4 linked regions of the Callithrix jacchus genome follow. The protein of the gene in region 1 interacts with the protein of each later gene in a pairwise test. Links are inferred from orthologs where the notes say so. Each region holds a gene or a part of one and is shown in the gene's direction. Other genes may lie near its edges. The genes, in order: ARAF, TIMM44, CSNK2B and NELFCD.

Evidence for each region.
Region 2: the proteins of ARAF (region 1) and TIMM44 interact in binary tests that used the Homo sapiens proteins (3 or more experiments, as listed by UniProt). The link is inferred for Callithrix jacchus from reciprocal best matches to the Homo sapiens genes ARAF and TIMM44.
Region 3: the proteins of ARAF (region 1) and CSNK2B interact in a two-hybrid assay, tested with the Homo sapiens proteins (2 studies listed by BioGRID and IntAct). The link is inferred for Callithrix jacchus from reciprocal best matches to the Homo sapiens genes ARAF and CSNK2B.
Region 4: the proteins of ARAF (region 1) and NELFCD interact in binary tests that used the Homo sapiens proteins (3 or more experiments, as listed by UniProt). The link is inferred for Callithrix jacchus from reciprocal best matches to the Homo sapiens genes ARAF and NELFCD.

The regions. Positions count from the first base shown.
Region 1 is NC_133524.1:48,529,799-48,534,070, forward strand, and holds part of ARAF (serine/threonine-protein kinase A-Raf), read left to right. Parts: intron 1-771; coding exon 772-874; intron 875-960; coding exon 961-1,115; intron 1,116-1,227; coding exon 1,228-1,326; coding exon of another isoform or gene 1,327-1,330; exon of another isoform or gene 1,331-1,470; intron 1,471-2,563; coding exon 2,564-2,720; intron 2,721-2,823; coding exon 2,824-2,851; intron 2,852-2,925; coding exon 2,926-3,071; intron 3,072-3,169; coding exon 3,170-3,372; intron 3,373-4,272. UniProt on the Homo sapiens protein: Involved in the transduction of mitogenic signals from the cell membrane to the nucleus. May also regulate the TOR signaling cascade. Phosphorylates PFKFB2.
Region 2 is NC_133523.1:7,472,789-7,477,060, reverse strand, and holds part of TIMM44 (mitochondrial import inner membrane translocase subunit TIM44), read left to right. Parts: intron 1-668; coding exon 669-839; intron 840-3,462; coding exon 3,463-3,543; intron 3,544-4,194; coding exon 4,195-4,272. UniProt on the Homo sapiens protein: Essential component of the PAM complex, a complex required for the translocation of transit peptide-containing proteins from the inner membrane into the mitochondrial matrix in an ATP-dependent manner.
Region 3 is NC_133505.1:39,169,082-39,174,055, forward strand, and holds the start of CSNK2B (casein kinase II subunit beta), read left to right. Parts: upstream 1-1,895; 5' UTR 1,896-2,011; coding exon 2,012-2,087; intron 2,088-2,408; coding exon 2,409-2,491; intron 2,492-3,455; coding exon 3,456-3,558; intron 3,559-4,140; coding exon 4,141-4,256; intron 4,257-4,698; coding exon 4,699-4,774; intron 4,775-4,920; coding exon 4,921-4,974. Other genes in the region: GPANK1 (G patch domain and ankyrin repeat-containing protein 1), read right to left, coding at 1-49. UniProt on the Homo sapiens protein: Regulatory subunit of casein kinase II/CK2.
Region 4 is NC_133506.1:54,549,043-54,553,757, forward strand, and holds the start of NELFCD (negative elongation factor C/D), read left to right. Parts: upstream 1-1,649; 5' UTR 1,650-1,659; coding exon 1,660-1,746; intron 1,747-4,715. UniProt on the Homo sapiens protein: Essential component of the NELF complex, a complex that negatively regulates the elongation of transcription by RNA polymerase II.

The DNA.
Region 1 (4,272 bases):
AATGCACGCAATTTAAAACTTATGAATTGTTTATTTCTGCAATTTTTAAATTTAACACTTTCCTACCCAGTTGATCACAGGTAACTGAAATCGTGGAGAGTGAAACCACAGATAAGGGAGGACTATGGTAGTTCAACTAATCTATGAGTTCATCCAATTTTTGTTTTGTTACTTCATTGATTCATTGGCCTGTAAGGTCAGCAACTCATTCTCCCCTGGCCCCCAAGTCCTCACCCTGCTCCATCACTTCCTCCCAGATTTCATCTATTTTGTCTTTTCGCGATTTCATGAATTCATCAGCTCTCTTCTTCCTCATTTTCCCCATTCTTTGTCTGCTGAGTTGGGCCTTGCTGACCTTATTTATTCCTCTCTTGTGAGGTTCCTTAATTTTGTATGCAGTTCACACACTGCACTTTGTTATTTCAGTGCCTCCTCAGCCCCCTTTTCAGGGGCTGGCTTAGTGCTCCTGAGATGTAGTTGTTTAGTTTCATTTGCTTCTCCACTTCCGTTTAAGAGCATGGACTCTTCACACAGTCCTGCCTTTCATTACACTTGTGGCCTTGGGCCAGTCACTTTATCCCTCTGAGCCTGTTTCCCCATCTGTAAAGTGGGGGCAAGGATAGTAAATAATTCCTAGAGTAGCTATGATGAGAATTAAACATGCCAGACATGACGCTGTGGGTAGCAGGCTTGGAGGGACTTTTGGGAGTTCCCTGCCTCCCCATAACCCCTCCCCACCCTCCCACTCATTCCCTTCCATGCCCCCTGCAGACGAAAGACGGTTACTGCCTGGGACACAGCCATCGCTCCCCTGGATGGCGAGGAGCTCATTGTCGAGGTCCTTGAAGATGTTCCGCTGACCATGCACAATTTTGTGAGTGCAGGGTGGACATTGTGGGCCGACTATGGTTGAAGGGTGTCCTTGATCAGGTCTTAAACTTCCCTGCTCTGTGGCATCAGGTACGGAAGACCTTCTTCAGCCTGGCGTTCTGCGACTTCTGCCTTAAGTTTCTGTTCCATGGCTTCCGTTGCCAAACCTGTGGCTACAAGTTCCACCAGCATTGTTCCTCCAAGGTCCCCACAGTCTGTGTTGACATGAGTACCACCTGCCAACAGTGAGCCCAACCTAGGGTGGGTGGGGGGATGGGGAGCACAGAGGCCCAGCCACAAGGCCCTTACAGACAGCTGATCCGTGTCCCCTTGCTTTATACCCTTCATGCCCTCAAGGTTCTACCACAGTGTCCAGGATTTGTCCAGAGGCTCCAAACAGCATGAGGCTCCCTCAAACCGCCCCCTGAATGAGTCGCTAACCCCCCAGGGTCCCAGGTAGGGATGCCTTAGCTGAAGGGGGAGAAAAAGATCTGGGGCTCTTGTAGACCACAAGCCATACTTTATTCATTTGTTTACTTGACAAACATTTATTGAGCACCTACAAGTGTGAATAAGGGCATGAAACTGGGACCTTGGACAAATCACCTGATTTCTCTGGGCCTCAGTTTTCTCATCTGTAAAGTGGATAATGATACTTTCTACCATATAAGGTTCTGGTGAGGATTAAATGAGTTAAGATGTTCATTGCCTAGAACAGGATCTGGTACAGTGTAAATAATTCTTTTTATTATTAATTATAAATATAAGCATCTAACTATTTTGCTAATTCTTCTAGAACCATGCTCAAGCCTTTCCTTTTTGAAATGTTTTATAAATTACTTCCCTTTTATTGCTTTTTATGTTTAATATTATAATAATACAATACTATAGCTATATTAAAATATATTACTGCTCTAATATATATTTTATAATGTGTATGTTTTATGGTATTTTTATGTTATTGTATCATGTTGTATTACATAATTGTGTGTCATGTAGAACATCATACGTGTTTATATAATACATAAAATAAGGTTAGGGTATTATTATTTTAATGTGTGTATGTGGATTAATTACCGTTGAGTTTCATTTCAGGAGAGTGAGGGAACATTAACATATTTTTGTAACTTTCTGTTTAGCATATATCCTATGTATAACATGCATGTATAACATAGAACATGGTAATATGTATACTTTAAGACATTGGCATTTTAATATAGATAATGCATATTATATAACATTTGAAGAATACATGTAACTATAATATATAATGATAAAATATGATACATTGCCCTTTCCCACTATCCGTGTGGCTTGCTATCCTGCCTTTAGGCGTTTACTCCAGTGTCACCTCCTCAGAGAAGTCTTTTCTGACACTTTATAGGAACACTGTGTCTCCTTATTTTGCTTTACTATTTTTCTTTATTGCACCTGTCACCATCAGGCATATTATATATTTGTTTTTTTATTTCAGCCCCATGAGGGCAAGAACTGTTATTTTGTTTTACAGTTTTATCTCCACCACCTAGAATGGTATCTGGCACACAGCAGGCACTCAATAAATGTTTCTTGAAGCAATGAATAATAGTACTGCCAGTGGACATTCGCTCTGTGTGAGCTAAATGCATGTTTACGGCCGGGGGTGGGGTGGGGGGCTTTCTTGGTTCTCTGATTCCTGACAGTGATTTCACAGCCTTTCCCCTGGCAGCCCCTGCAACCAGCACTGTGACCCGGAGCACTTCCCCTTCCCCACCCCAGCCAATGCTCCCCTGCAGCGCATCCGCTCCACGTCCACTCCCAACGTCCATATGGTCAGCTCCACGGCTCCCATGGACTCCAACCTCATCCAGGTTGGTGCTGTGGGGGACAATCGTGGGGACCGCTGGACAGAGGGGAGAGTCATTTCTGTTGGCCTCCGTGCCCTCTTTTTGACCCCTGTCCCTCTTCTTCTAGCTCACTGGCCAGAGTTTCAGCACTGATGGTGAGTCCCCCGTGCCTGCACTCTGGCCCTCGCCACCCCACTTGCCTCCACTCACATCCTCTCTGTAACTGCAGCTGCCAGTAGTAGAGGAGGTGGAGATGGAGCCCCCCGGGGGAGCCCCAGCCCAGTCAGCGTGTCCTCGGGGAGGAAGTCCCCACATTCCAAGTCACCAGCAGAGCAGCGTGAGCGGAAGTCCTTGGCTGATGACAAGAAAAAAGTGGTATGATCAAGGGGGGACCTTTTGGGGGGACCAAGGCTGAGTTATGTGGGATGAAGGATGTGGGCAGGCCTCTTAGATGCCACCCATCTGGCCCACAGAAGAACCTGGGGTACCGGGACTCAGGCTATTACTGGGAGGTACCACCCAGTGAGGTGCAGCTGCTGAAGAGGATTGGGACAGGCTCGTTTGGCACCGTGTTTCGAGGGCGGTGGCATGGCGATGTGGCTGTGAAGGTGCTCAAGGTGTCCCAGCCCACAGCTGAGCAGGCCCAAGCCTTCAAGAACGAGATGCAGGTGCTCAGGTGAGGTTGAACGTGTGCATGGATTGGGGTGGCAGCCCTGGCCTTGGCCCTTCCCGGGAAAAGGCCATGCTTGGAGTGCTTCCTGGATATCACCTGCATTTGTGTTGTTAAACCATCATCAGAAGTTGTTTCTCTCTGAAGGATGTCCCTCTCCCCTCTGGGAAATGGGTATGTTTACAGGACCTCTGATTGTGCAGTTGTTTTGTGTTTGGGTTATTAATTAATGGCTCTGCCTCCAAAGTGTGGGTCTTCTCAGTTGCCTGCTGTGAACTGGGTTTGGGTGTGGGCCATCATTGCAGTAACCCCATTACCAGGAAGGCTTGCATCTTTCCTTCCCCTCTGCTTGAACTACATCAGTAATGTTCTGTTTATAGTGTTGGTTCTCATTATTCACTAATTCTAATGCCTTGATTTAAACAATATTATTATCATCACAAGAATCTAATTATTGCTTTATTATTATAATTACTATTAGTATGTAATCAATACAGTATTCATCCAGCCATGCTAAGAAAGCCAGGTGTCCCTTTTTTGCTGCTATAGTTACTATGTAGCACATAGTAACTATAATAGTACTGCCAGTGGACATTCGCTCTGTGTGAGCTAAATGCATATTTATGGCTGGGGGCCTGTATACCTATATACTACAGGTAGTACTGGATAGCTTCTACCAGTTCTGGGGATGTCAGCATGGGCTTTTCCTCTCTGTCAAATGAGCACAATTATGTTACAGAGAATAAGGTAGCTAATATAATGATCAGTTTTACAGTTGAGGAGCCTGAGACCCAGAGAGGTTAAATGACTTCCTCAAGGTTGCACAGTGAGTAACTGGTGAAGCCTAGATTTGAACGTGAGTCCAGACTCCAAGTTCTTCACCTCTAAGCTTCTCATGCTGCTGAA
Region 2 (4,272 bases), on another chromosome or scaffold:
TGTAATCCCAGCACTTTAGGAGGCCAGAGGCAGGCAGATCACAAGGTTCAAAGATGGAGATCATCCTGGCCACATGGTGAAACCCCATCTCTGCTAAAAATACAAAAATTAGCTGGGCGCAGTGGCAGGCACCTGTAGTCTCAGCTATTCAGGAGGTTGAGGCAGGAGAATCACTTGAATCTGGGAGGCAGAGGTTGTAGTGAGCTGAGATTTCACCACTGCACGCCAGCCTGGCGAAAGAGTGAGACTCTTCTCAAAACAAAAACAAAACAGAACAAAAATCCCTTAGAGTCCCTCTGTGGGGCTTTTTGTTGTATGTTCTTCTACTGTGTTCTTTACTTTTTTTTTTTTTTGAGACACAGTCTTGCTCTGTCGCCAGGCGCCAGGCTGGAGTGCAGTGGCACGATCTCAGCTCACTGCAACCTGCGCCTCCTGGGTTCAAGCAATTCTCCTGCCTCAGCCTCGTGAGTAGCTGGGACTACAGGCCAGCTAATTTTTGTATTTTTTGTAGAGAGGGGGTTTCACCATGTTGGCCAGGCTGGTCTTAAACTCTTGACCTCATGATCCACCCATCTCAGCCTCCCAAAGTGCTGGGATTACAGGCGTGAACCACCGCACCCGGCCCTACTGTGTTCCTTAAATGTTTTTTTCTTTTGCGTTCTTTCTAGTCCAAATCATATTCTTCTGGAAACAGAAAAGGCTTTCTGTCCGGCTTGCTAGATAATATCAAACAAGAATTAGCCAAAAACGAAGAAATGAAAGAAAGTATTAAAAAATTTCGCGATGAGGCCAGGAGGCTGGAAGAATCAGACACGCTCCAGGAGGCCAGAAGGAAATACGTGAGTTCCTTTGCTGCTTTATTTTTCCCCCATCTGGGCTGGAGTGCAGTGGCACAATCTTGGCTCACCAAAACCCCACCTCCTGGGTTCAAGTGATTCTCCTGCCATAGCCTCCCAAGTAGCTGGGATTACGGGCATATGCTACCACGCCAGGCTAATTTTGTATTTTTAGTAGAAGCGAGGTTTCTCCCTGTTAGTCAGTCTGGCCTCAAACTCCCGACCTCAGGTGATCCGCCCGCCTGGGCCTCCCAAATTGCTGAGATTACAGGCGTGAGCCACCTTGTCAGGCGCCTTTGTTTCTTATTTTTCTTGGTTGACATATCTGTTTCCAGAGCCAGGGTTACTCCAGGCCAGCTTCAGCCAGAGGAGCTCAGGGCCAGACGGTTGGGGGCAGGGTGGCTCGTGAGGTCACTGCTCTGATGCACTAATGAGAGGCAGCCAGGGGACAGGAGCAGGTCTCCGGGCCTCTGGGTTCTGCCATGAAACCATGTAGCATTCTGTGCACCTTCAAGCATGGTCCCCAGACCAGCAGTTGTGGCTGCTCCTGGGAGTGGGTGCCAGATGCAGAGGCTCACACCCTCCCAAACTGCCAGGCCAGCGTTCACATCTTCACAGGACCGCAGGCAACACATGCACATCAGCCGTGGGATGCAGCGCTCCTGAGAGCTCCCAGCTGTCGCCCCCTGAGTGAAGCCGGGTGGAAACTAGGTGATGGTGCTGGTATAATTACTTTATGAGATGGGATCTTGCTCTGTCACCCAGGCATCATTGCTCTGGAGTGTAGTGATGTAATCTTGACTTACTGCAACCTCCACCTCCTGGGTTCAAGCTGTTCTCCTGCCTCAGTCTCCTGAGTAGCTAAGATTATAGGCACCTGCCACCACACCCAGCTGATTTTTCTTTATTTTTTTTTTTTTTCTTTTGAGACAGAGTCTTACTCTGTCACCCAGGCTGGAGTGCAGTGGCACGATCTCAGCTCACCACAACCTCTGCCTCCTAGGCTCAAGCAATTCTTCTGCCTCAGCCTCCTGAGTAGGTGGGATTACAGGCATTACTACTGAGCTGATTTTTGTATTTTTAGTAAAGACAGGTATTACCATGTTAGCCAGGCTGGCGTTGAACCCCTGGCCTCAAGTGATCTGGTTTTTTTTGGGTAGAAAAGGGGTTTCACCATTTTGGCCAGGCTAGTCTTGAACTCCTGGCCTCAAGTGATCTGCATTCCTCAGTCTCCCAAAGTGTTGTGATGACAGGCGTGAGCCACTGCTCCCAGCCTGTGATTATTAATTCTCTTCTTGAGCAGCTGCCAAGGCCTGGCTTCTGGGAATGGCTCTGCTTTCCTTTATTTGTCAGGGCCCTTCGAGGCAGGTGCAAGTGTCCCCAGCTTACCAATGAGCAGCTGAGCCTCAGAGATGCAGGCACCTGCCACAGGTCCCTTGGGTTTTGTTTTCGTTTGACTTAGTTTGTGGGGTTTTTTGTGTGTGTTTTCTTTGAGACAGAGTCTTGCTCTGTCGCCCAGGGTGGAGTACAGTGGCACGATCTCAGCTCACTGCCCCTCTGGCTCCTGGGTTCAAATGATTCTCCTGCCTCAACCTTCCAAAAAACTGGAATTAGAGGCATGTACCACCACGAGTGTCTAATTTTGGTATTTTTAGTAGAGAGAGGCCAACATCATGTTGGCCAGGCTGGTCTGGAAATCCTACCTCAGGTGATCCGCCCACCTTGGCCTCCCAAAGTGCTGGGATTGCAGGCATGAGCCACCATGCCTGGCCTAGTTTGATTTTTTGAGACAGGGTCTTGCTCTGTCACCCTGGCTGGAGTGCAGTGGTGCGATTATGGCTCACTGCAGTCTTGACCTCCCCATGCTCAGGTGATCCTCCTACCTTAGCCTCCTGAGAAGGTGTAACTAAAGGCATGGGATACCATGCCTGGCTGATTTTTTTTTATTTTTTGTAGAGACAGGGTTGCCTGTGTTGGTCTCCCATCCTGGGCTCCAGCGATCCTCCTATCTCAGCCTCTCAAATCGCTGGGACTATAGCTGCATGCCCAGCCCCTCTTTAGCATTAAGGCAGGGGCCACCTGAGGACAGTGCAGGCTGGGTTTACGGGGGATGGATGGTGTGGGAGACATAAGACCAAGCTGTGGTGGCTGGAGGCTGGATGAGGGGCAGAGTGATGACAGGCAAGGTCACCTCCTGCCACCCAGTGAAAGTCAAACTGGGCCTCCTGTTCTCAGGAGGTAGCTGCCACGCCAGAGTCTGAGTCTGCCAGCCTTCTGGGCAGGGAGCTCCCAGCCGCTGAGACCCTTAATCCAAGCCACATGGGCTGTCAGGGGCCCCGGAGGCAGCGCATGGTGGCAGGCGTGGGGAGGGAGGGGCTGCCGAGAAAATGTTTCTTGGACCTTTGGCTGTAAGAGAAATGGCACTGCTATATCAAAACAGACTTAAAGACACAAAGCTTGGCCGGATGCAGTGGCTCACACCTGTAATCCCAGAACTTTGGGAGGCTGAGGCAGGTGGATCTCTTGAAGTCAGGAGTTTGAGACCAGCCTGGCCAAGGTGGTAAAATCCCATCTCTACTAAAAAGACAAAAATTAGCCGGGCAAAGACACAACACTCTTTACCTAGAAAACCATGGAGTCAGAAACCATGCGGACAAGTGAGGTGCTATGGAAGAAGCTTGGGGAGCTGACAGGCACCATGAAGGAGGTAAGAGTCCCACACCCACCTAGAGCCCCTGGGGGCCACCGCAGTCCCCCTGCTGCTGAAGGAAGAGTCGGCTCCCAGGTGGGGGGTGACTTGGCAGCATTGGGTGACATGGGGCCTGGGACCACCCTCGGGAAGGCTTCTGGAGTTCCCCAGGCACACACAGGATGAGGTCAGACTCGTGACCTTGCATGACAGTTGACCCTGTAACTCAGCAGCAGTAAGCCAGGACGAGGAGAAAACGAAAATGTTTTTCCAGCCTGAAAATAGGAGGGGAGGGGCCTCTTCCATCCCCAGGCAAGGGTGGAGGCGGGAGGGAGGCCTCCTGGGGTGCTGCAGGCTCTCCTCTGTCACCTGTTCTATCTGGGTTTGCCCAGCATGGGGTCCGAGCACTTCCTCTGTCTCCAGAGGACTCCTGCCCATTTTCAGGAGGGGCCAGTTGACCCAGCATCTCACCCCTCGCCCAGGGACCAGCACCCAGGAAGCCATGGTGGTGGTCTCGTGGCTCTGGTGGTTCTGTGCGCCACAGGAGCACAGAAGGCCTATGCTGGCCTCAGAAGCCAGATCTGCCCTTCCCTCCAGCAGGAGTTCATTCCTCCTGCATCCCCTGCCCCTGGGTCTGGTGCCAACGCCCCCCTTTGTCTGTCTCAGTAGAGCCTTCATGAAGTGAGTAAAAGTGATCTTGGCCGGAAAATCAAGGAGGGTGTGGAGGAAGTGGCCAAGACGGCCAAG
Region 3 (4,974 bases), on another chromosome or scaffold:
CGCTGGGGTCAGTGGCTGGGGTGAAGGTGATGAGGAAGGGCCGGGACATGGCTTTTGGGAGAAATGAGAAAATGAAACCAGGCAAGGGAAGGATGACACAAGCAAGCCAAGCTACTGGTGACCCCTGTAGCAACCAGAGTCTCCAGGGACATGCTGGGATGAGAAAAACTAGTCAAAAAACACCCTCCTGCCGCTAAAATGACGCCACAACTTAGGACCTTGCAGGGCCTAAGGGAAAGAGGTTTTCTGTAAAAACACAGAACCCTACAATAACCGACTCTGCTCCTTAGCAAAGGTTAATAAAACTCCATGAGACAGTTGTCCAGCGGTCCTGCGTCCCGCCCCCACTCCCACCCCCATCCTCACCAACAATAAATACCAGCCTCTTTCTGAAACCATTTTACCCCTCCGTAAAACACACATACCATTAAGAAAAAAATCAGCCTGTCCCTTTAAATCTTCCTCGATACCATTTTGGAGTTTTCTCCGAAACAGAAGTCACTCCCTAGGAAGATCTGGAGGACAGGCTCCAGTCTGCGATGCTGTGTAGCTTTCGTACGGCAAAATGGCACTATTCTAAACAGAAGAGTTGACACAATCAAACAGCCGCACGGCACGAAGACGCATGCGTGGCGACGACAACAACAACAAAAACCACAACCCACATTACTTGAGGGCTCAGGCGTGCGCAAAGCTCCCAGTTCAGTTTCCCGCGCTGGAACCTTTCCAATAGCAAACGCGCAAAGCTCTGCGCGCCCCGCTGGCGCGAGCACCAGGATCTGTCGGTTAGGGTTCTACTTTTACCTATACGCCCCCACAATGCCCTTCGCCTTCCTCAACGTGAACCGCCCCCCTCCCCGCCCCCTCGCTCCAAGTCCATTTTCTGGACCTGGGAATCCACTCTCCGTGTTAGGAAAGGCCCTCAGGAGGCGGAGGGAAACTTGTGGAATGCCGAGAAGCCGTGAAATGAAATAACGTCACGCCTGCCCCTCACCATTACTCTGACCAGGGTTCTAAGGTCACACTTAGAGCGTAAAAGGAGAAGTGCAAGGGGACGAGCGAAATGGCTGGCCCCACCTCAGGTTACCGCACTGGGCCGTTCTGGTTCTCACAACGCTCAGCTCAGCTCAGCCCAGCCCACCCAACCCAAGTCCCTACGCACGGAGCCAAACTGCACCTCTCGCCTCATGAGGCCAGAGCCGGGAGGGTAACAGGAGGCCAGTCAAGGGTGTCCGGCGGGACTGACTCTCACTAGGGGCTCAACAATCAATAAGGACCCAGCGGATTGGCCGGGGATGGGCCAGTCCCCTGGGCAGCAGCGCCCCGCTGCGCCGGAACTAGACGGGAACTGCGTGTCTCCCTCCTCTCCCCGCCCCATCTCGGCTTTTCTCCCAGTGAGCACACAACTATATTTCCCAGGCTCCCTGGCCCCAAACGTCATACCTGGCTTCCGCTTCCGGTGGCTTCTCGCTGTGCCCCGCCCGCAAGCGTCCTCCTCCGGGGCTTCGTGACAGCCAGGTCGTCCGCGGGTCTTCCTGGGATTGGTAGTTCGCTTTTCCTTCATTTCACCAGTTTCTCTTTCTACCTGGGACTCCGTGTCCCGGCATCCATCGCAGCACCTGACCCTTGGCGCTTGCGTGTTGCCCTCTTCCCCACCCTCCCCAATTTCCACTCCCCCCCACCCCACTTCTCTTGCCGCGGTCGGGTCCGCGGCCTGCGCTGTAGCGGTCGCCGCCGTTCTTTGGAACTAGCGACTTCCCTACCCCACCCCAGTCCTGGTCCCCGTCCAGGCGGTGAGTCTGAGGTCGTCGCTACTCAGAGTCTCTTGTTGGGAGCAGCACATGGGGTCTCCGTACTTTGATGTGGGGGCGGGGGAGGAAGCGACCAGGTCCGGCACAAAGGAGGGAGAGGTGGCCTGAGGAGCGGAGGCAAGATGTGTGGACTCCAGTGAAAGGGACTTGACGGTCGCTCCAGCCCATAAGAAGAGGAGGGGCCCGGCTCTTGCTAGAGAATGATAAACTTCGAAACGCTTGGGAAAGGCGCCGGGGTCATGCAGAGAGCTGCAGTGGTAGGGAGCCTGAGCCGAGGTCCGTGCTGGAGGTGACACAAAGTAGAGAGGGCCCTGGCCTTCGGGAGCTCCAGGGATGTGGGTCAGGCTGGTGGGTCAAAGTATCTGTTGGGTTCTCTCAAGTGGTGGGACCCCAAAGTGTGTTTAACCTCAAAGAAAAGGAGCTGAGACGTAAATTAGAGGAGCTGGAGAGGAGTGTTTCAGAGTTTGGGATCCTTTAAAAAAGGACGGCTCCAAATTCTAAAGTCTCCCGTGGTTGGAGGGCCGAATGTGGGAGGAGGGAGGATACCAGAGGCAAGGAGGGAGAACTTGAGCTTTACTGACATTCTTCGTTTTCCAGCTGACGTGAAGATGAGCAGCTCAGAGGAGGTGTCCTGGATTTCCTGGTTCTGTGGGCTCCGTGGCAATGAATTCTTCTGTGAAGTGAGTTCTCTTCAACCCCCCTCCTTGCCAGCTCCACATAGATTCCCACTAGACGTTTCTCCACATATTCCACTTCCTCATCGTTCTCTTATATGCTACTTGAAAACTTCCCATCAATGAAGAGTCCCCTCAGTAACCCCCGGCAAATCTGTGCTAAAGTGGCAAAATTGGGGCCTGTCCCAACTCTGCCATCCTCCAGCAATATAACGTTGGACTAGGCAATTTGTGACTTTCTCTTTTTTTCTTTTTGAGACCGAGTCTTGCTCTGTCACCCAGGCTGGAGTGTAGTGGTGTGATCTCACCTCAATGCAACCTCTGCCTTCCAGGTTCAAGTGATTCTCCTGCTCCAGCCTCCCAAGTAGCTGGGATTACAAGTGGCTGCCACCACGCCCAGCTAATTTTGTATTTTTAGTAGAGACAGGGTTTCACTAGGTTGCCCAGGCTGATCTCGAACTCCAGACTTTAGGTAATCTGCCCGCCTTGGCCTCCCAAAGGGCTGTGATTACAGGCATGAGCCAGTGCACCCAGCGTGTGTCTTTTATTACTAAAGTGGCACTGCTAGTACCTGTCTCAGGTGGCCGTTAGGAGAATTGAAATGCTACGTATCCAAATCTTTTGTTCAGAAACCAGGCTGTTCAGCTTCCACCTTCCTTAGCCAGCTGAGAGGACAAAATGGTTCCTAGCGATGGGAGACAGGAATAAGGATAGAGATCTTGAAAAGAATGTCTCTCTAAGAAAAAGACTGCTGTACCTGCTTATCCTTAGAAAACAAAAGCCAAAGCTTTTATGGGAGGGAGTATAGGTGAACAGAGAAGAGACGCGAGTACTTCTGCTGAGTTTCAAGTGAGAAACAAGGGGGAACAGAGCAGTTAGGTTGATAACAAGGCATCAGTTAGAGCATTTTGCTCACGTTAAAGATGGAGATTTTGACATGGGTTCCCTCTTGGCTTCCATATCCTGACAGGTGGATGAAGACTACATCCAGGACAAATTTAATCTTACTGGACTCAATGAGCAGGTCCCTCACTATCGACAAGCTCTAGATATGATCTTGGACCTGGAGCCTGGTGAGGCACCCTCAGGGTTGTTTGTGTGTGTGCGTGTACTTTTTTTTCTCTTCAGATCCCTATTCACTTGCTTGAATTTTGAAATTTCCTTTGGTTCTCTGATTTTCTTAACCCCAAATTCATGCTTTATTTTGATCCTCCACCTGACTCTTGTCTAGTTTTGTGACGCATTATCACTTGTTTCCCATACTTTTTAAATCCACAGTTCGGATCTATTCCAAAATGGGTTTCCTCATGGGTCTCATTTGCTGTCTGTTTCTCCTACCTTGGACCTTCTAGTCCGGAGTTTGATCTTCTGCATTGATATTGTCGCATTTATGTATTGAGGAGGGAGTTGGGAGGGAGAGGAGAGGAGAGGAGAGGGCAGAGGCTGACGAGGTGTGAAGAGAAGGCAGAGCTCTGCCTTGGGCTGGTGAAAGCGTCAGAAGCCCAGGTTTCTGGGTCACATGCCCAGGTGTTGGATAGGGTAAGGCTCAAAAGTAGGTGCTAGGCAAACTGAATAGCTAGCAGCCCCTGGGTATGGGCAGGGCACCTAGGAAAGCTGAAAAACAAGTGGTTGCATTTGGCTGGGCTGTGTTTCAGATGAAGAACTGGAAGACAACCCCAACCAGAGTGACTTGATTGAGCAGGCAGCCGAGATGCTTTATGGATTGATCCACGCCCGCTACATCCTTACCAACCGTGGCATTGCCCAGATGGTGAGGCCACTCTGCTCCCACTTGCCTCTTTCTGAGCAGTAAGAGAAACAGGTTCCTGCAGCAAGAAGTCATGTTTCAGCCCAGCTAAGGAAGCTAGCTGAGAAGAGGGGAAGAACCCCAGAACTTGGGCCTTGGAATTTAATCCTGATTGGGGGTCATCCTGAAGGGATCGTTTTCAGGGAGGGAGACAGACCTTGAACAGAGAGTTGTTATAGATTGGCTCTTCCTCAAGGAACAAACAGTGAATGGCTCTGATGGTTTGTTGTCTGCCTAACTGGAAGAAAGGCAACATAGGAGTTTGAGAGCCCATCTGGGCCAGTGAAGGGGCCTCTGGACAGAGGTGGGAGGAGTGGGGGACAGAGTGATGTGGGTTGGGCTGAGAAGGGAGTTGCCTCTTCTCTTAACACCTACCTGCCAACCCCTTCCATTTTATTCACCTCAGTTGGAAAAGTACCAGCAGGGAGACTTTGGCTACTGTCCCCGTGTGTACTGTGAGAACCAGCCAATGCTTCCCATTGGTGAGTGTTGAAGCAGGGAAAGGAAGGAACTGTGTGACAGTCTTATGGAAAGGAGTTGGGCTCAGCATGTTGGGGCCTGAGTCCTGAGGGGAGGTGAGGGTGGGAATGGGGGGCTACCTGGCCTGCTGAGTCTGGCTGTCTCCCAGGCCTTTCAGACATCCCAGGTGAAGCCATGGTGAAGCTCTACTGCCCCAAGTGCA
Region 4 (4,715 bases), on another chromosome or scaffold:
ACACTCAATAAACATTTGTTGAATAAACATATTCCCTGATAAGCCCTCCATAAATGTTCACTATTATCAATATTCTGGAGCTCTTTAATACCCTTTCCTTACTGACATGGGCATTACCCTTCTTTTTTTTTTTGTTTATAGACAGGGTCTTACTTTGTCACACAGTCTGAAATGGCATGACCATTGCTTACTGCAACCTCAAGCTCTTGGGCTGAAACAATCCTCCTGCCTCAGCCTCCTGAGCTGCTAGGACTGCAGGCATGCATCACCATACCTGGCCGAGGGGATGGGGATGTCTCTGTATGTTGCCCAGGTTGGTCTCAAGCTCTTGCCTCAGGCAATCCTCCCACCTCAGCCTCCCAGAATGCTGGGATTATAGGTGTGAGCCACGGCGGTCAGCCATGGAAATTTCCTTTTAAAGTATCCAGATCTGATGGCGTTAAAATTTCACCCTGCTTAAAATTTTCCACGATTTGGACACAAAGATGGGAACAACAGACCCAGGGGATTCCAAAAGGCAGAAGGTGTGGGAGATGGGGTGGGGTGGGGGGGGGGTGAGGGGGTGCGGGTAAAGGTTGAAAAGCTGCCTATCTGGTACCATGTTCACTACTTTGGTGAAGGGATTATTAGAAGCATCACACAATATACCAATGTAACAAACCTGCACATGTACCAAATTTAAAATTAAAAAAGCACACACACACTCAACAGCCAACAAAAGCCTTTCCGTGATTATCAAGAGGCTGTCATGTTCTTACTCCCTACTTCACATTAGAAGTGTGCTGCGGGCTTCACAACAGCATCACCTGCGCCCTTTGGCAGCTACCAGGGAGGTCCTTTCTCCAGAGATTTTTGTGGGCTCTGGACACTTTTGCTTTGCGGGCCTTTCCTCCATTTAAAAAAAAAAAATTAAAAACGTTACTTTCCACTGCATTTAGTACTTTTTCTTTTCTTTTCTCTCTTTTTTTTTGAGACACAGTTTCACTCTGTTGCCCAGGCTGGAGTACAGTGGTGTGATCTTGGTTCACTGCAACCTCCGCCTCTAGGGTTCAAGCGATTCTCCTGCCTCAGTCTCCCTAGTAGTTGGGATTACAGACGCCCGTCACCACGCCTGGCTAATTTTTGTATTTTGAGTAGAGATGGGGTTTCAGCATGTTGGCCAGGCTGGTCTCGAACTCCTGATCTCAAGTGATCCGCCCTCCGAGGCCTCCCAAAGGGCTGGGATTACAGGCGTGAGCCCCCACGCCCTGCCGCGTTTAGTACTTTTTACCAAAAATAAAAGAAATTAAAACACTTTCGTGGGTTCTAGACACTCCCCAAAGAATTTGTTCCCAGCTGTCCGATGAAGAAACTGGCGCTCGCAGGGCTGGTGCAACAGGAGTGAGACCGTGCACGAGTCCAGTTGGAAACCTCTCTGCATAAGCCCCTGGCCCACCCTAGCAGCGCTCAGAAACCGATTGGGGGGCGTTCCTTTCGCCCGGTCCTCTTTGTTCCTAGCGGGAAGCCCGCGGCTCTGCTCCCCCTCCAGGCCCCACCCCTTCCTCCAAGCCCCGCCTCCCGCCCGGGCCGAGCGCGCGGGGGGCGGGGCCGCGGGGCCGCGCGTGCGTCCGCTCGCCCGTTTTCGCCTCGCGCATGCGCCACGCTAGCTCGCGGTAGAGCATGGCGGTGTCCGCGCCGGGAGCCATCATGGATGAGGACTACTTCGGGAGCGCGGCCGAGTCGGGCGACGAGGCTGACGGCGGCCAGGTAAGGCGGGGCATCGGGCGCTCCCCGGCGAGGATCGTTCGTCTCCGCCGCCGGCGGGCCGGCTCCGCTCCCGGCAAGCCCGCGCGGCGCGAGGCCGCGGGCGTGCGGGGTGTGTGCGCGCGCACGGCCTGCGCGGTCTCCGTGTGGTTCTACACAGCCCGCCCCGCCCCCCCAGCCCGGGGTCCCTGCGTCTTCGCCTGCAGGACCGTGGGGCGGGGACGAGGCGGCGGTGGCTCTGGAGCGGGACAGCCCGAAGCCCCCAGTGACCCCTCGTTCCGGCCAGCCTCGGCGCCGGCCCTGCGACCCCCACGGCGGGTGGGACACCAATACTAAGGTGGAGGGTTGGGCTCGAAGCCCAGACAGTTTTAAACAAAAATAAAATGGAAAACTTCACACCAGCATCGTGGGGAAAAAGTAAAACTTTGGGCATTCCTACTGTGTTTCACTGTTTTATAAACTGTACTCTTCAGCACCCCTGGCCGATTTCATCTGTCTTTGGACAAAATAATGAAAAGGATCTTCTGGCCTTGACCTTCCAGGGTTTGGAGTGGAAGCCCAGGAGGGGTCACTCTATTCTCCCCTGAGGACAGGGCCTGCAGAGCCAGGGAAGGCAGTTCTAGTCAGGCTGGTTTGTCACCACCTTTTTCTAACCTTTTTTTTTTTTGTTAATGAGAGCTTCTTATGTTGCTCAGGTTGGCCTTGAACTCAGCCTCGCTTCCTCAAGCGCCAGGACAACTGGCCGGAGCCTTTTTCTAATCTTAAAACCCACCTGCTGCGCATGATTGAAATGTGCAGCTTCTCAGGTCCCTACAGTTGATCTGCACGAGAGCCTAGGAACTTGCATTTTTTTTTGAGGCAGAGTTTCACTCTTGTTGCCCAGGCTGGAGTGTAATGGTGCAATTTCGGCTCACTGCAACTTTTGCCTCCCTGGTTCCAGTGATTCTCCTCCCTCAGCCTCCCGAGTAGCTGGGATTACAGGCGCCTGCTACCACACTCATTTTTTAAAATTTTGAGTGGAGAGGGGGTTTCACCATGTTGGCCAGGCTGGCCTCAAGCTCTGGATCTCAGGTGATCCATCCACCTCGGCCTTCCAAAGTTCTGGGATTATAGGTGTGACCCATGCGCCTGGCCCAGGAACTTGCATTTTTAACAAGAATCAACAATGGGGATATTTGGTCCATTTTGAACTGGTATTTTGAGGGAATGAAGGATGCAGTGGGCTTACTTCAATGAACATGGATGGTGGTGTGATGACGGCTTCGGAGCTGTGGTAGCAAATAACAGGACAGGCGATGTGTTTCTGGAACTGAAAGAAGGCCTGTGAGGTTAGCTGCCTGGTGGAAGCAGTGGCAGGAGGTCAGTAGGGAGCAGGTCTGAAGATCCTTGGAGAGCCGCTGAATGGCTTGTTCAGGAGTTTGGGGCAGGAGGTGATATGAGTAGATTTGCATGTTGGATCATTTCACAGCGTTGGAGGCTTAGGGTAGAGTGGATAGAGAGTCAGATGTGGCTGAGAGCCTGGGCCATGTGCTTCATGCATTATCACCTTCCACACTCAAGATTTTGAGTTGGGTGTTACTCTATCTGGTAAGTGAAGAAAGTGAGGTGGAAAGACTTAATGACCTTCCCAAAGTCATGAAACTAATAAAGGAAGGAGAGGGGACCCAAACCCATGTCATTTGCCTCTATTGCAGCTTCATCAAATTGCTGACCACCAAAGTGGTCCAGATGAGAGGGTATGAATTATCTTAGTGGTGGGTTGGTGTTTGGGGCATCTCGTATATCACCTTGAGACTTTTTTCTTTCTTTCTTTTTTTTTTGGGGGTGGGGGGGAGTCTCACTGGGCTGCCCAGACTGGAGTGCAGTGGTACGATCACGGCTCATGTAACCACTGTCTACCAGGTTCAAGTGATTCTGTGGTCTCAGCCTCCCTAGAAGCTGGGAGTACAGGCACCTGCCATCATGCCCAACTAATTTCTGTATTTTAGTAGGGATGGGGTTTCACTTTCACCATGTTGGCCAGGCTGATCTTGATCTCCTGACCTCAGGTGATCTGCCTGCCTCGGCCTCCTAAAGTGCTAGGATTACAGGCGTGAGCCACCACGCCGAGACTTTTTCTCTCTCTCTCTTTTTTTTTTCAGACAGAGTCTCACTCTGTTGCCCAGGCTGGATTGCAGTGGTGTCATCTTGGCTTACTGAAACCTCTGCCTCCCGGGTTCAAGTGATTTTCCAAGTAGCTGGGATTACAGGCTAATTTTTGTATTTTTAGTAGAGATGGGCTTTCATCATGTTGGCCAGGCTGGTCTCAAACTCCTGGCCTCAAGTAGTTTGCCCGCCTCAGCCTCCGGAAGTGCTGGGATTATAGGCTTGAGCCACCACCCCTGGCCTCACCTTGAGCCGCTGAGTCAAAAAGTGTTAGAACTGGGGAATGTAAGGGCCATCTAATCTGCCTTCACTTCCAACTCTAGACCCTGCTGTTGGAAGATTGGGGAATTTTTTTTTGAGACGGAGTCTTGCTCTTGCCCAGGCTAGAGTACAATGGTGTACTCTTGGCTCACTGCAACTCTTATCTCTCAGGTTCCAGCGATTCTCCTGCCTCAGCCTCCCTAGTAGCTGGGACTATAGGCTCGCTAATTGCCTGGCTAATTGTTGTAGTTTTTAGTAGAGATGGGGTTTCACCATATTGGCCAGACTGGTCTTGAACTTCTGACCTCATGATCCGCCTGCCTCAGCCTCCCAAAGTGCTGGGATTACAGATATGAGCCACCATGCCCGGCCTCATGTTTGGGGAATTTTGATCATGATCCTAATGTATCCCATTGACACCAGTGGGCTCTCATTGATGAGGAGGGTGGACCAGATGTTCATTTCATTTTTATTCTGTGATCCCACTTGGACGAGGGACAGAAAGTTAGGAAAAGTGTTAGGAGGGTGGCAAGAACTGGATTTTAAAAGACAGTTGGTGACTCACA